Arabidopsis thaliana: one gene and its partner. The protein of the gene in region 2 interacts with the protein of the main gene of each other region in a pairwise test. Each region holds a gene or a part of one and is shown on either strand. Other genes may lie near its edges.

Evidence for each region.
Region 1: the proteins of AT1G31460 (region 2) and DAC interact in a two-hybrid assay, tested with the Arabidopsis thaliana proteins (one large-scale study listed by BioGRID).

The regions. Positions count from the first base shown.
Region 1 is NC_003074.8:6,140,572-6,146,585, forward strand, and holds DAC (uncharacterized protein), read right to left. Parts: upstream 2,740-6,014; 5' UTR 2,676-2,739; coding exon 2,579-2,675; intron 2,484-2,578; coding exon 2,338-2,483; intron 2,249-2,337; coding exon 2,159-2,248; intron 2,061-2,158; coding exon 1,902-2,060; intron 1,817-1,901; coding exon 1,736-1,816; 3' UTR 1,554-1,735; downstream 1-1,553. Other genes in the region: AT3G17920 (Outer arm dynein light chain 1 protein), read left to right, coding at 218-291, 392-473, 542-667, 754-860, 1,001-1,161, 1,237-1,452; AT3G17940 (Galactose mutarotase-like superfamily protein), read right to left, coding at 3,136-3,758, 3,840-3,947, 4,044-4,170, 4,413-4,462, 4,556-4,673; AT3G17950 (uncharacterized protein), read left to right, coding at 5,740-5,808.
Region 2 is NC_003070.9:11,259,224-11,265,790, forward strand, and holds AT1G31460 (vitellogenin-2 protein), read right to left. Parts: upstream 3,714-6,567; 5' UTR 3,388-3,713; coding exon 2,482-3,387; 3' UTR 2,220-2,481; downstream 1-2,219. Other genes in the region: AT1G31450 (Eukaryotic aspartyl protease family protein), read right to left, coding at 649-1,986; NFD4 (Major facilitator superfamily protein), read right to left, coding at 3,714-4,209, 4,291-5,126, 5,305-5,721.

The sequences.
Region 1 (6,014 bases), on a different chromosome or scaffold from region 2:
TATTGAGGTCGCGTAGTGCTTCTCTAGTTTGGTAGGCTTTATGCAATTTGAAAAGGAATAACTGGTCAATGGAATTAGATTGAGATGTTCTCGGTTCTCTTGTAATTCACATGTATGAATAATATACTCTTTACTTTATAACTACAAATTTGTCTTGAGAAGCCATTTACAAGGATGGCGCTCTTCTTTTCCCCCTGACAGTACTCTATAAATGCAGGGAAGTAGTGTTGCTGCTGAGTAGCCAAGAAAAACTGTATGTGCTGCTCGTGGGTGTCTCCACTGATTTACAAGGTTAGACTGCTCTTCCCTGTCTTTCTCTTATTCTTTATGTCCGAATGTGTTATGTTCTGTTGATACTGATTTACTTTTCCTTGATCCCTGGTGTCTGCAGAGAGCAGCTTAAGTTTATTGTGTTCGCATACAATCGGGGATATACGAGATGTCTCAGTTGGTCTAGGACTTCAGGTTGTGAGGTTAGTTTTTCATGGCTCCGCTTTGAAAATTGATTATGTGCCCATGTCTCACTTTCCTTCTGGTTTAGGCTACGTTTTAGGGAGGATGCAGAGTACATTTTCATGACGGCGAGCATTGAAAAAACAACAGTTTTACTCAATATCATAAAATTCTTGGATTATCAGGTTACAGAATCAAAATTTTCTTTGAAGAGGTGAGCTATCATCATCTATTTCTCCAGCTCTTTTACTATTCTTCTTCTGTTTGCTGATTTGAGATGTATTGAAACTTAAATGGCAGTTTGGAGAATGTTCAAGTGGAATTGTTTGAGAAAGAAATATGTAGTGGTTTGAAGCTGAGTATATTCCAGTATATTGTTCTCCATTTTCAGAGCAGCACTTTTGGAGGTATATTATTCTCTCTTGTATGAGGAAGCTTTATTTCTCTTAATAGGGTTTGACAAGCTTATAAGTAATTTGATTCGAGCAGTATCAGCACTGATCATTAACTATAATGTTAATCAATTTTTTTGTGTTAAACTGAACAGAAGTGTCATGGCTTCCACGGTCACTCTTTGTGGCGGGTGGACATCTTTTCATATGCAATGAAGACTTCAGGCAACTGAGTTTTCTGCCAACAGATGATGCTTCTTCATCCCCATATTTCTCACTTGACTCAAGCTGCTCCATCTCCGACATATTTGAGATGGTAACAAGTTTGTTTATTCTTTCCCTTTCTCTCGCTTATGTCAGTTTTTTATGTGCAAATTGGGGTGTTATCCAGGTTGTTGAATCAAGAGGAAGCTCGTGCTTGTCACTGAAGGTCAAGCAGAAGGATTCCACATTTCAAAGCAGCCAAAAGAGGACAGTGAATTCAGTAACATGGAAGCTCAAGTTACTCAGCCCTGAGTGTGTACCCAAATTTGTGGCTCTAGTAAATGGACTTCACCCAGATTCGACAGAATTCCCATTGTTCGTAAGGCATTTGGGTGAGAGATGAGCCGTAAATATTTAGAACTTGACATTTGTTCATAACTTCAAATTCATTTGATTCAATTTGTTCGTGAGTTTTGATTCATCTTGTATAAAGCCCTTGAGGGTCCTGTGGTGTGTCCAAAATATTCTTCGATTTGTATATTTTTAGTGTGTATCGTTCATACAACAAACAGCAAGGAAGAAGAAAGAAAATCAGATTAATATCTAGATTTTTACTTTGAAAGCCTGTGCTATTCTTCGTTTTACAAACTTTTGCAGGTGATGTAACAGTAACACAATGGAGGAACCTACTCAACCTTGGTCTTCTCTTCATCAACCTGTGCCATCAATGCCTCTAACTCTGCCTCCGATAAGCTCTCCAATCGTTTCTGCTCATTACCAACCAACCAAACCAAACTTATGTTAGGTAAAGTAGATAAACCCTGATAAAGAGATTAACGAAAAAGCAGAAACCTGCATGACTTGAGACTCGTAGTCACGAAGTTGCTGGGCATAAGTCATCTCCTTGTTACCGACTCTAAAGATATAAGTCGAAATCCAACCCAAAGTCAAACCAAGCACCAGTATCAGCTGTACTGCATTCCCCGCTTGCAACGGATCAACTCCCACATACTGCACCATATCATTATCACAAAATGAGTACTCAGAAGAACAAAGAAAAAGATAACAGATTCATTTGATATCATCAGTATGTAGATAATGAGAATTACCTCAAGTCCACTCTCTAGCCCGATACCAAGTGCAGTCACTCCCACTCCTATCAATATAACATCCTTCCTCGTGTAACCAAACGGCGTCGTCTATAACCAAATTATTTCACAACAGAGTTTGCTTCAGGACTACTACGACGATAGATTATGATGTAAATTCAAAGAGATGGAGTGCAGACCTTGGTTTTTGTAGCAGAATCGTCTTCAGTTTCAGTAGAGTTTGAGCTAACTCTACATCTCATTCTCTGTTTCTCTCCCTTTTCTACTGATGATGACAATCTATGTCCCTCGAATCTATATAAGACTTTCTTCGCAGCTCCGAATCCTGCATCATCACAACAAACACAGGAGAGTTTTACAATCGCTTCAGCTTGAAATCCTTAAGTTTTATCGAAAACGATTATTGGGGGAGAACAGAACCTGTGGTTTGTCGCCCAACCGGAAGAAGCCTTACAGACGCAGACAGAACCTCCTGATTTCTGCATAGATTCGAAACTCCGAACGGTAAAGAAGCCATTTCTGTGTTTAAGCCACAACACAAGCCGTGGTTACTAGTGAAAAAAATAATGAAACAAAAATTTAAGGGAGGACGAAGAGATTACAGAGATGGATGGTTGATATTTTTTGGGGCCCATAGGCTTTTGCTTCTTTAGTGGCGCGTGTTTCTCACCGCCCAAAAGACATGCGTGTAGACATAATTGCCATCAGAATTACTCAAATACACTAATTGCTCTTTTTTTCCAAGTTCATGTGAACAATGGGAGATTCATTCGCTGCACAATTCACAATTTCACAAATGGGCCAAATGTTTAGAAGATATGAAAAAATAAAGTAACTTTAATATAATGTAAACAGTTTGGTTTTATTATTCTCCCCCAAAGAGATAAAATTAAAATCACTCTTTTTCCAGCCCAGTGAATCAAATGAACCGGCCCTTTATTCCCATCATCTAACACCTAAAACGTCCATCTATAAACTCAAGCTGAAAACTCAAACAGCATCGTGTGATTGTACTTCTCACCAGCCTTAACCACAACAGACGGGAAATTCGACTGGTTAATCGCGTTCGGGAATCCCTGCGTCTCAAGGCACACACCCGCATGTTTCCCGTAAACCGCATTCCCTTTCCCAACCACTCCATTCACATAGTTCCCGGTATAAAACTGCATTCCCGGCACATTGGTCCACAAGTTCAGTACCCTTGAGCTAGCAGCATCACTGAGCTTCGCTGCGTGTTTCAGCCCCTCCTTCTCTTGATCAGGACAGTCCAACACGTAGTTATGATCGTATCCGATACCAACCTCTCCAATAGACTCGCCTATCCGCTTCTCCTCAGTGAAATCGAAAGGAGTTCCCTTTACAGGCAAGATCTCTCCTGTAGGAACTGTGTATTCGTCAACCGGCGTGATATGAGACCCCCATATCTGAATCTTATGGTCTAGAATGTTTCCTGAGTCATGACCTGCTAAGTTCCAGTATGTATGTTGAGCTAAGTTGATGGGAGTATCTTTGTTCTCTGGAACAGCTTCCATGTCAAGTCTCATTGTCGTGGCTGACGTGAGAGTGTATGTCGCCGTGACAGAAACCGCACCAGGGTAACCTGTGGAGGGGAACCGCAAAACATTATATAGCTAATCTAATCCCACAGAAATCAAATGCTAGAGAAAGGATATGTCATTACCTTCTTCTCCATCGGCACTGTGATATTTGAAAGTGATGAAAGGTTTTTCGCCGTCTCTCTTGTGCCCTGCAACTTCCCATATCTTCTTATCGAAACCCTTGTTACCACCTGTACAGATAGAGTAACATTTTACGGTCCAAATCCTATTTAGTTCACAGAAAGTTATAGAGAAAGTATACAGAGAAGAGAATTGTTTATACAGACCGTGGAGACTATTAGGAGGCTTGTTGATAGGCAAAGTGTAGTTAACTCCATTGAGACTGAATTTTCCCTCCTTGATCCGATTTGCCACACGACCAACAATGCACCCAAAGTATGGTGCAAGCCCTTTCTGTAACAATCATATTCATAGATAAAACACACATATTCATTAACATTGTTACAAAGTCCATCTTATTTTGATAGTTCATCACAAAGTCATTCAACAAGGTACATGAATGACCATATACATTTCTTAAATTATGATTCAGACTCTATTCATGAGATCCAGAGGCAGTGATTAGAGTTTCGATCAGATTGATTGAATCTATGTCGAGATCAGTTCAAGGATTAGGTGAATTCGAGAGAAATTACCACATATGGATCCACCGAGTCGAATCCGAGAACTACATCCCCCAGTTTCCCTTCAAATAAGAAAAACAAAGACGATAATCAGAGGATTAGGATTTGGAGACAAAACAGAGATCATCATTGAAAGGAGGAAGAAGAGAACAAACCGTTCTTGTCGGGAACAGACAAAGAGGTGATGGTGGTGCCGTAGTTTGAGATCTTGACCTGCATGGTGCCATTGTTGAGCTCGAAGATCTCTGGAGTGTTTTTGCTCTGATCCGCCATTAGAGGGCTCGAAGACTAAATTAAAGGCTTTAAGATTAGAAGCGAAGTGATTGGGATTGAGATTTTTGATTGGGGAGAAACAAAACAGAGGGTGAAGTGATTAGCTTTGGTTAAAAGAGTTATAAAATCGTAATCTCGTAACTGATCAATGTTGACGTCATCCACATCCCAAACTATTTATCATTTTTACCCCCCAAACAAAAAACTATTTATCTTGGGGGTTTTTGTTTTTCGTTTTTTACACTTTAATGCATTTCTAAACTTTTTGAAAATCAAATTACTACCCAAAAGTTACCAAATTTACTTTCAGGAATTCAAAAGTTACCAACTAAAATCCAAAACTATAGAGATTAGAGAAAAGAACAAATGTAGAATTTGGATCTAATTTTCTAATTATCAATAATATTTTAAGTAAAAAAATATTTGATTAGTCAGTTATAAAATAAAAAATTTGATAAGTCGGATTATATGCTTTTGACAATAAGAGAAAGACAAAGATATCATCAGATAACAAGAAAATAAATAAAATATACTCTAAACATATTCAGTTTGACCCCAAAAAAAAACTCTATACATGATCGTAACAGAGTATTCGCGTGAATTTAGATGTAGTTTCTCTACCCTTTTTCAGGTATCCTATGAAAAAATCAATAGTACCTATAAAAGCTTACTTTGTTGTAATTTATCCTCTTTTCGTAAATTTTAATTTGCTACCATCCAACATGTCTCAGCTTTTACCCAAAGTTTACAAAAAAAATGTCTCTGTAAAGGATTTTGATTATTCCCATAACTAGAAACAATTAAATCAAATTTATCAAAAATATCAAAGCTCTCTGAGACATGGAAAGAAATAGTGTAACAGATGGCCAAGAGGACTTTAGCTTAAAGAAGCACAATCATTTCAAAAAGCAAATCATTTGTCACTTTCTTCTTCTTCACCTATCCATCCACAAAAACACTTTCCTTTTCCTCTCATCAAGAAACTCCCTAATCCGACGTCGTTCGTTTTAATTCAGTGACACAATCTCCCACATCTTCAAACCCTTTGAAACCAGCGATTACAGAGATGCAAGATCCTCATGTCCCATCTTCTCCAACTATCTCCTCCGTCTCTTCCTCCGATCTTGATACTGAGGTCAGTTCCTGCAATCTTATACTTAATAGATAATCTAATTAAAGATCAAGCTCTTCATGTGTTTTCTAAGCTACCCATAAAGCTTTATGCTATAAAGTATCAACCTTTAATTAGAAAACTAGTTTAAAGTTCCAAAGGTTATGTTTTCAGAACTGCCCAGAAACATATATATGTACTTGTTAGAACTTGATTTGGTTTTTTTATTG
Region 2 (6,567 bases):
TTTTTAAAAAATCGAATATCCACTTCGATCCGTATCTTTTTATATATATTAAAAATATAGTTATATCTATATATAGATATCATAAATAGTTTGTGTATTGTTGCCATTTTATGTTTTTATGTTAAGATATTTGTTTGTTCATTTTTTTTTCATGTTATGTTTTGATCAATGGCATCAAAAACTATAGGTTTTAGTTTTTGGAATTAGTTTGATAACATTTTGCTGACCGATGATACCAACAACGGTTGTGTTTGGTATTTAAAACTTATTTTGAAAGCATGTTTAATAAAAACTTTGAATATCTGATATGGTTATATAGTATACAAATTTTTTTTAATATTTAAATGTATCAAAGCGGATATCCGCAAATATCACAAAAAATTCCGGATATTCGAAATTCCGGATATCCGGAAATTTTCGAAGCAAAGCAAATCACAAAATCAAGTATTCGTTAAAACGAATCGAATAACAAATATCACAATTTTTCCGGATATCTGCTTCGTGCCTAGACCTAAATATGGCTATTTGATTTTAGGAAGAAATTTAATTTAGTAAGTAGAGATATTATTTATACTGAATATTCATTACATTGCAATAATTATGAATATCAGATAATAAAAACGCTAGCTCTTAACGGCAACGTTTGCTTCATAAGTTCCCGGAGCAATCCATGCGTTGAAACGATACCGTTTTGGTCTCCAAGTCATAGCCAACAAGGAAATCCATTTGAACCATGTTTCCGTATATAGCAACTTCAGTTGTCGGAATCATACTCAAGCACACTGTATCTTCATTTAGTTTCACGAACGCGTTTATCGGACTCAGCTTCACGTCGGCGTTCGTGAAATGCATTGTTATCGCCGGCAAACCGATCTCTTTGTCTCCGGATTTGAAACAATGTGTTAAAAGCCCTTGTGGATCACTCACACGCTTTGCTCCGGTTACTGATTCTTCCACGGCCGTACCAAAGTCATCGTAAAATCCTGAGTCGAGAAGGGTAAGGGTTGTACCGGAATCGATTATGATGTTTCCGGTTCTCTTTGATGATTTCCCGTTTAATCCGTATCCTCCTCCGGTGTATGGAAGCTTGGTTTTGCCGACGGTGACTGCTTCGAGTGTCAAGAAATAGTAAGTCTCGGGGTCTTTTTGGATTAAGGGTGTAGTGAGCGTAGCGGAGTCTTTGCTTGGATTGGAAGGTATCGAGTTGGTTCCTAGGTTTATGACGCTTGTGCCGTTTGTTGTAGCTGCCGTGTGTGACAAGCAATACGAGAATTTCTTCCCTATGGAAGAACCAAGCTGGGAAACTAACGATAATGGACCACCTCCGAGTCCGATGATTCCGGATCCGGTTTCTTCGAATGTACCACCGTTGTTGTAGCCGCAACCAAAGACAGTACCGGGGAAAGAAACAGAGGAGCCAGAGGAAGAATCAATGGAGATTGTTTCGGTCGCAACATCTCCTTTGGTAAACGAATTATCTCCATAAGAGTAACGGTATTTGCAGATGTCTTTAGATTCGTCGCATCCTTCTTCGTGTTCGGACAAGGCTTGACAGGTTTTTGAATCGCAAGATTCTGTTTTGTAGGTGGAAGATTTCTTCTTGTCGAAGAGTGGACTGTTTTGTTTGTAACATTGTTGACATGGCTTACATTGGACCCAAGTTAGGTCACTTCCCGTGTCAGCAATGGCGAAAACTTTCGACGGTGGAGTACCGATTGAGATGGACATGAAGTATTCGCCGCCATTTGAGATTAAACCGGATTGGAGATCGGTTTTGGTTGTGAAACGGCGAGAACGTGAGATTGATCGGAGGAAAGCAGCGTTGAGACGGTCAGAGACAGTGTGGTGAGGGTTGTAGAGTGGAGAATGAGGAGAGTCACGGTGGATTAGCTCGACGGTTAAGTTCTCTCGGTTAGCTGAAGAATTGGAAGCAAAGAAGAAGCTGATGGCTAAGAGAGAACAGTAGAGAAAAGTTTTGGTTGCCATTTTTGGATGATTTGGTAAGTTTGTGGTGTAGACTTGTAGTGAGTCTGTGAGTGAAAGAGTGCAAGGGTTTATAAACAGCATGAAAGGGAACTTGAAAAGATTGAAACGGCAACGAGTTTGGCGACGTGGTGAGAATGTGATTGATAGATTAGCTTTAAATTTCATTAAGACTGCTAAGTTATTGAGAGGTTTAGTGGAGATGATTATTGATTTATTTTTAAAGAAAAAAACAGAGTCGTAGCATTAATCTTGTGAATTGGATCGTTCTGATTTTACAAAGTGTAACGTAAATTATAAATTTTCAACAAATTCTTAGGAAAGACTTGGAATTGAAATAATTAAGCTTAACAAAAATATAATACTACTTAGTTATGATTTATTTATATTTCTGGTTACATTTATATATCTATGAAGCATTTCTTCAAACCGGACTCAAAACTAAATAACCAAAACAACAAAACCAGATAAACCCAAATTGCACATTTCCCAAATCTCTCAATCATCAAAATCGAATCTAGCTGATGCATGTTTCGCCATTTTAATGATCTCAGCTGCTTCTTTCCTCATCTTCTGTTGTTCCTTAAGCGCTTTCTTCAACATTTTCCTTTGATCTTCCACTGGAAACGCATTCAAATCAGATAAAAACTCATCGAAATCAACGTTCCTCTCTCGACCAGAAGAGTAAGTAGCAGCACCAAATGATTTACAGTTTTTGAGATTCTTCTTGTTGGTTGTTGATTTTTTCGGTGAAGAACGCCAAATGGATCCGATGAGTTTCGACGGAGATAACTTATCGAACCATGACGACTTTGATTTCGGTTTCGATTTCTTTTCTGGTTCTGAATCTGTTGATGGTGGTGTAGCTAAATCGATTGACGATGATGAAGATGGTGATACGATTCTTCGTTTCTCTTTAGGAAGCTTCTTCTTCGTTTGTTGTTTCACTGGCGAGAGAATTTTACTCTCACTGATGTTTCCAGAATCTGAGAAATCTCCACTTCCATTAGAGACAAGCTCAGCTTGAGAACTCGATTTCAAATCCAGATCACGTTTTTTTCTCGAGAGATTACTCGAATCTTCATCAGATAAACTCACAGAGCCAGTTTTTTTACCTGGATTTCTTCGATTTCCTGAGAAATTCACATTCACGCTTTTGGAATGTGAGAGAGGCTTCTGCCTATTCATCGAAGAAGATGAAGATACCGGTTCGTGTCGTGGAGCAGCTGGAAGAGATTTGAGGCGACGGAAGCGAGATTCGAGATCATCTGGAAGAGTAGAATCGGTGAATCCAGAACAATTGATAGCAGCTACTTGCTCCAAATCAGAAAGCTCCTTCGCTTGCGAAATTAGCTCTTCCACTGCTGAATCGTCTGTATCTGAAAAATACCCAAAATCCGCCATTATCGATGAGATCAAGCTTCTTAGGGTTTATTTTTTGCTTTTTGGTGGAGACGAAAGAAATAAGAGTGAGAGAGAAAGAAAATGATAAAAGTCGTCACAACGGCTAATTCATGATTTTGTCAGTTACGTTGGCTCCGATTCTGTGCGCGTCAATTTTGATGACTAACCCACAAAATGTGTGATTAAGCTTTAATCTAATTACTTTATTAAAGACAATTTTAATTTAAGATTCTATTCATATAATATGTAAGCAAAAACTGGTGTCTTTCTCTCAATAAGTTCCACTAATTATCTTTTCTGTGGTTTCTTTGTGTTACAGATTTGATTTACAATGGATCAAGATCCTTGTACGATGATGTTAATGAAACCTTGTCTTGTTCAAGCCGGTGATAAACCGGTTTGGTTCGTATGTACAGTGACAGACTTGAGACGACGCCGAGGATAGACAAGCAACCCCAAAACACAAACGTTTTGAAGTAGCAATCTCTTCCGATGCAAACGATTGAGTCAGACACTATTGGTGTTATATCGGGGCTTGCGTTGGCTTCGTAAATGGAGGCAGCGATGTAACCGTATAAGAGTGAGCCGATTGGTATGTTTGTGATGAGAATGTTGTGGTTAACACCTACGCTATTGGGTCCAAAGAGATCAGATGTTATGGAGACTGCGGCTGCGAATATGAAACCTGAACTCAGACCGATTAATGCGGTTGCGGTCTGCAATGCTGTTTGTTGTGAGGATGATACCGCTAGTAAAAAGAAAGCGATTGGAGTTGGTAAGAGTGCGATTGCAAACCAGCCGGTTCTTGTTAAACGAAATCTCCTGCAAGATCCAATATTCTTGATGAGAATATGTTATTTCAATTTCACATTAAGACATTCCTTAATCTAAAATGAAACTTACTTGTGCATAAAATCTGGTGCGGCAGAGAGCAATCTACCGAAGAAGGAGAATGAAGAGTAGATTGTGACTAGTGTAGTAGAGTTTTGTCCCAAAGACTGAGCAATCTGTCCCAAATTGTTGCTGTAAACAAGGCCAATTGTGCCACCACAGAAATACGCAATGTAGTATAACCAAAACTCCAATCTACTTATGAGCAATCGAAACGAATGTTCATCACCGAGCCTCACTGTGTTCCCTTCCTTAGCAGTCCCCATATGTTCATACCCGGTTTTGCTGGAAACGGACGTTTTTTGGTTCTTGAGCTCATCTATGTTAAGCATAACATAGCCAGAGCTTTCATGGTTTAAACGAGCGTTAATGACCGGAAGAAAGTAATCCCGAGCATAAACGAGAAGAGGAGCACACAAGGGGAAAACCAGAAGGACGACAGCTCCAATGAAATTCAAACGCGCTGATGAAGTACTGGAACTAGATAGGAGAAGGTGGAAACTCGTAATGACAGCTAAAACATTCAAAATGGTAAACACATGGGAGTCATGTCTGCGGGAATCATAGTCCGGAGTAGTATCTAGAGACGGTTTAGTAAGAACTGGGTAAAGAGCAGCAAAGGAAACAACAAGGGGAACCAGAGAGTTCAGCAGAAGGTATAGATTGGACGACGACGGGTTAATTGCATTGAAAGCAAGGGAGTACAATGCTGCACTGATTCCATTGAAGCTTACCGTTAAAGATAAGGCGAGAGCACGATTGTTCGGGAAATGACGAATGCAGAGGATGAAACATGCTGTGTTGAACCAACAGATACTTAATCCAGCTAACAAGCAGCAGAGAAACACCTATCATGTTGAAAAGATTCAATTACTAAACCAAATCAAATGCAGTTCTCTCACGATTCTAACAAACTAATCTACCAATTCCACATTCAAATCAGATCCTTGAAGCAACAATATCTTAGTAAAAACTAACAAGAATTTCGTATGAATCTTTCGAATTCAAGTAGTTATATATATGTACCAGAGAATAAGGCAAAGTGATGATGTTGGTGATGACTAGCCACTGAACACCGTAACCAACAAATCCCATAGCCGCCGCAGCGAAAAGAACGACGGAGAGAGGGAAATAACCTAAAGCAATCCCAGACGACCATCCAAACGCTTTCCCCAAATCAGAAGCCACGGCGAGGTAATTTAACCTCACCTGAGAAATTCCGAGAACTGATTTGAGATGGGAAGAGTAAGCTGAGAAATCGAAGTTGGTTCCCGTCGATGCTTGGATCCAGATCGCTGCCACAAGAACAGTCCATTTCCGCCATCGACCGAACATGGTCCTGAGAGGCGGAAGATGTTTCCGGTGAAACTTTGTTTCTCCGTCGTCGAAGGAGGCTCGGTTAGGTCGGAGTTTATCTGAAACATCTCTGATACGAGGTCTCATATACAAAGGAAGATGATTGATGTTGACCGATGCTTGCAAAAAAGCGTTTAGTTGTTCATCTACCGCTTTTGATCTTTGTTCAATAAAAGGGATTTTGGGTTTTTGATGTTAATTTTTTTATTTTATTTTAACAAGTGTCGTATTTTAAATGTTTTAGGTAAAAATGGTTTAGTTGGTATTGATTTAGGCAACACTATTTATTTTGCTTTGAAGTGTAGAAAACGTAAACTGTCAAAATAAACGTAAATGAAAACAAAGAAGTGGTGAGAATTAAGGAATCTTGCACCTTAGACTAAGAATCAAGGACCATGTCAATATCATATGGTTTAGACCAACGAATTTCTTATTGGCAAAGCATTTAAATTTATTATAGTGGTTAAGATTGGTATGGTTATGAGGATGAGGTAGCACAAATGATGAACTTCTAAATTCTAACCATCCAAAAAGAAGTATTTTGAAGGTTTCAAAGCTACGATTCTTTTGGTAAGAATCTACGAAGGTGACCAACAAGTAAGTAACATAGAGCCTCATTAGATCCCAAATTTTGTAATCCTTTGGCTTTTGCTATACCATAATCGCAAGTATCTTCCTAAAAATCACTATCGGTGGAGTGATTAAGCTAAAATGGAGCTGTTAATTTATCATTTTCCATAATTCAAAACACACATGCTTGCTATCTTTAAATAACACACTATTGAAACAATTTTGGTAGATCAACACCAACACATTTTATTTTGACTTTTGGCAAATTTATCCTTCACTTGTAACAACAAGACAAATTGGTTCGTTTTTTTCGAAATTATGACTTGGCATCTACGTGGCAGTGGTTTAAGTAGATGACAGTAC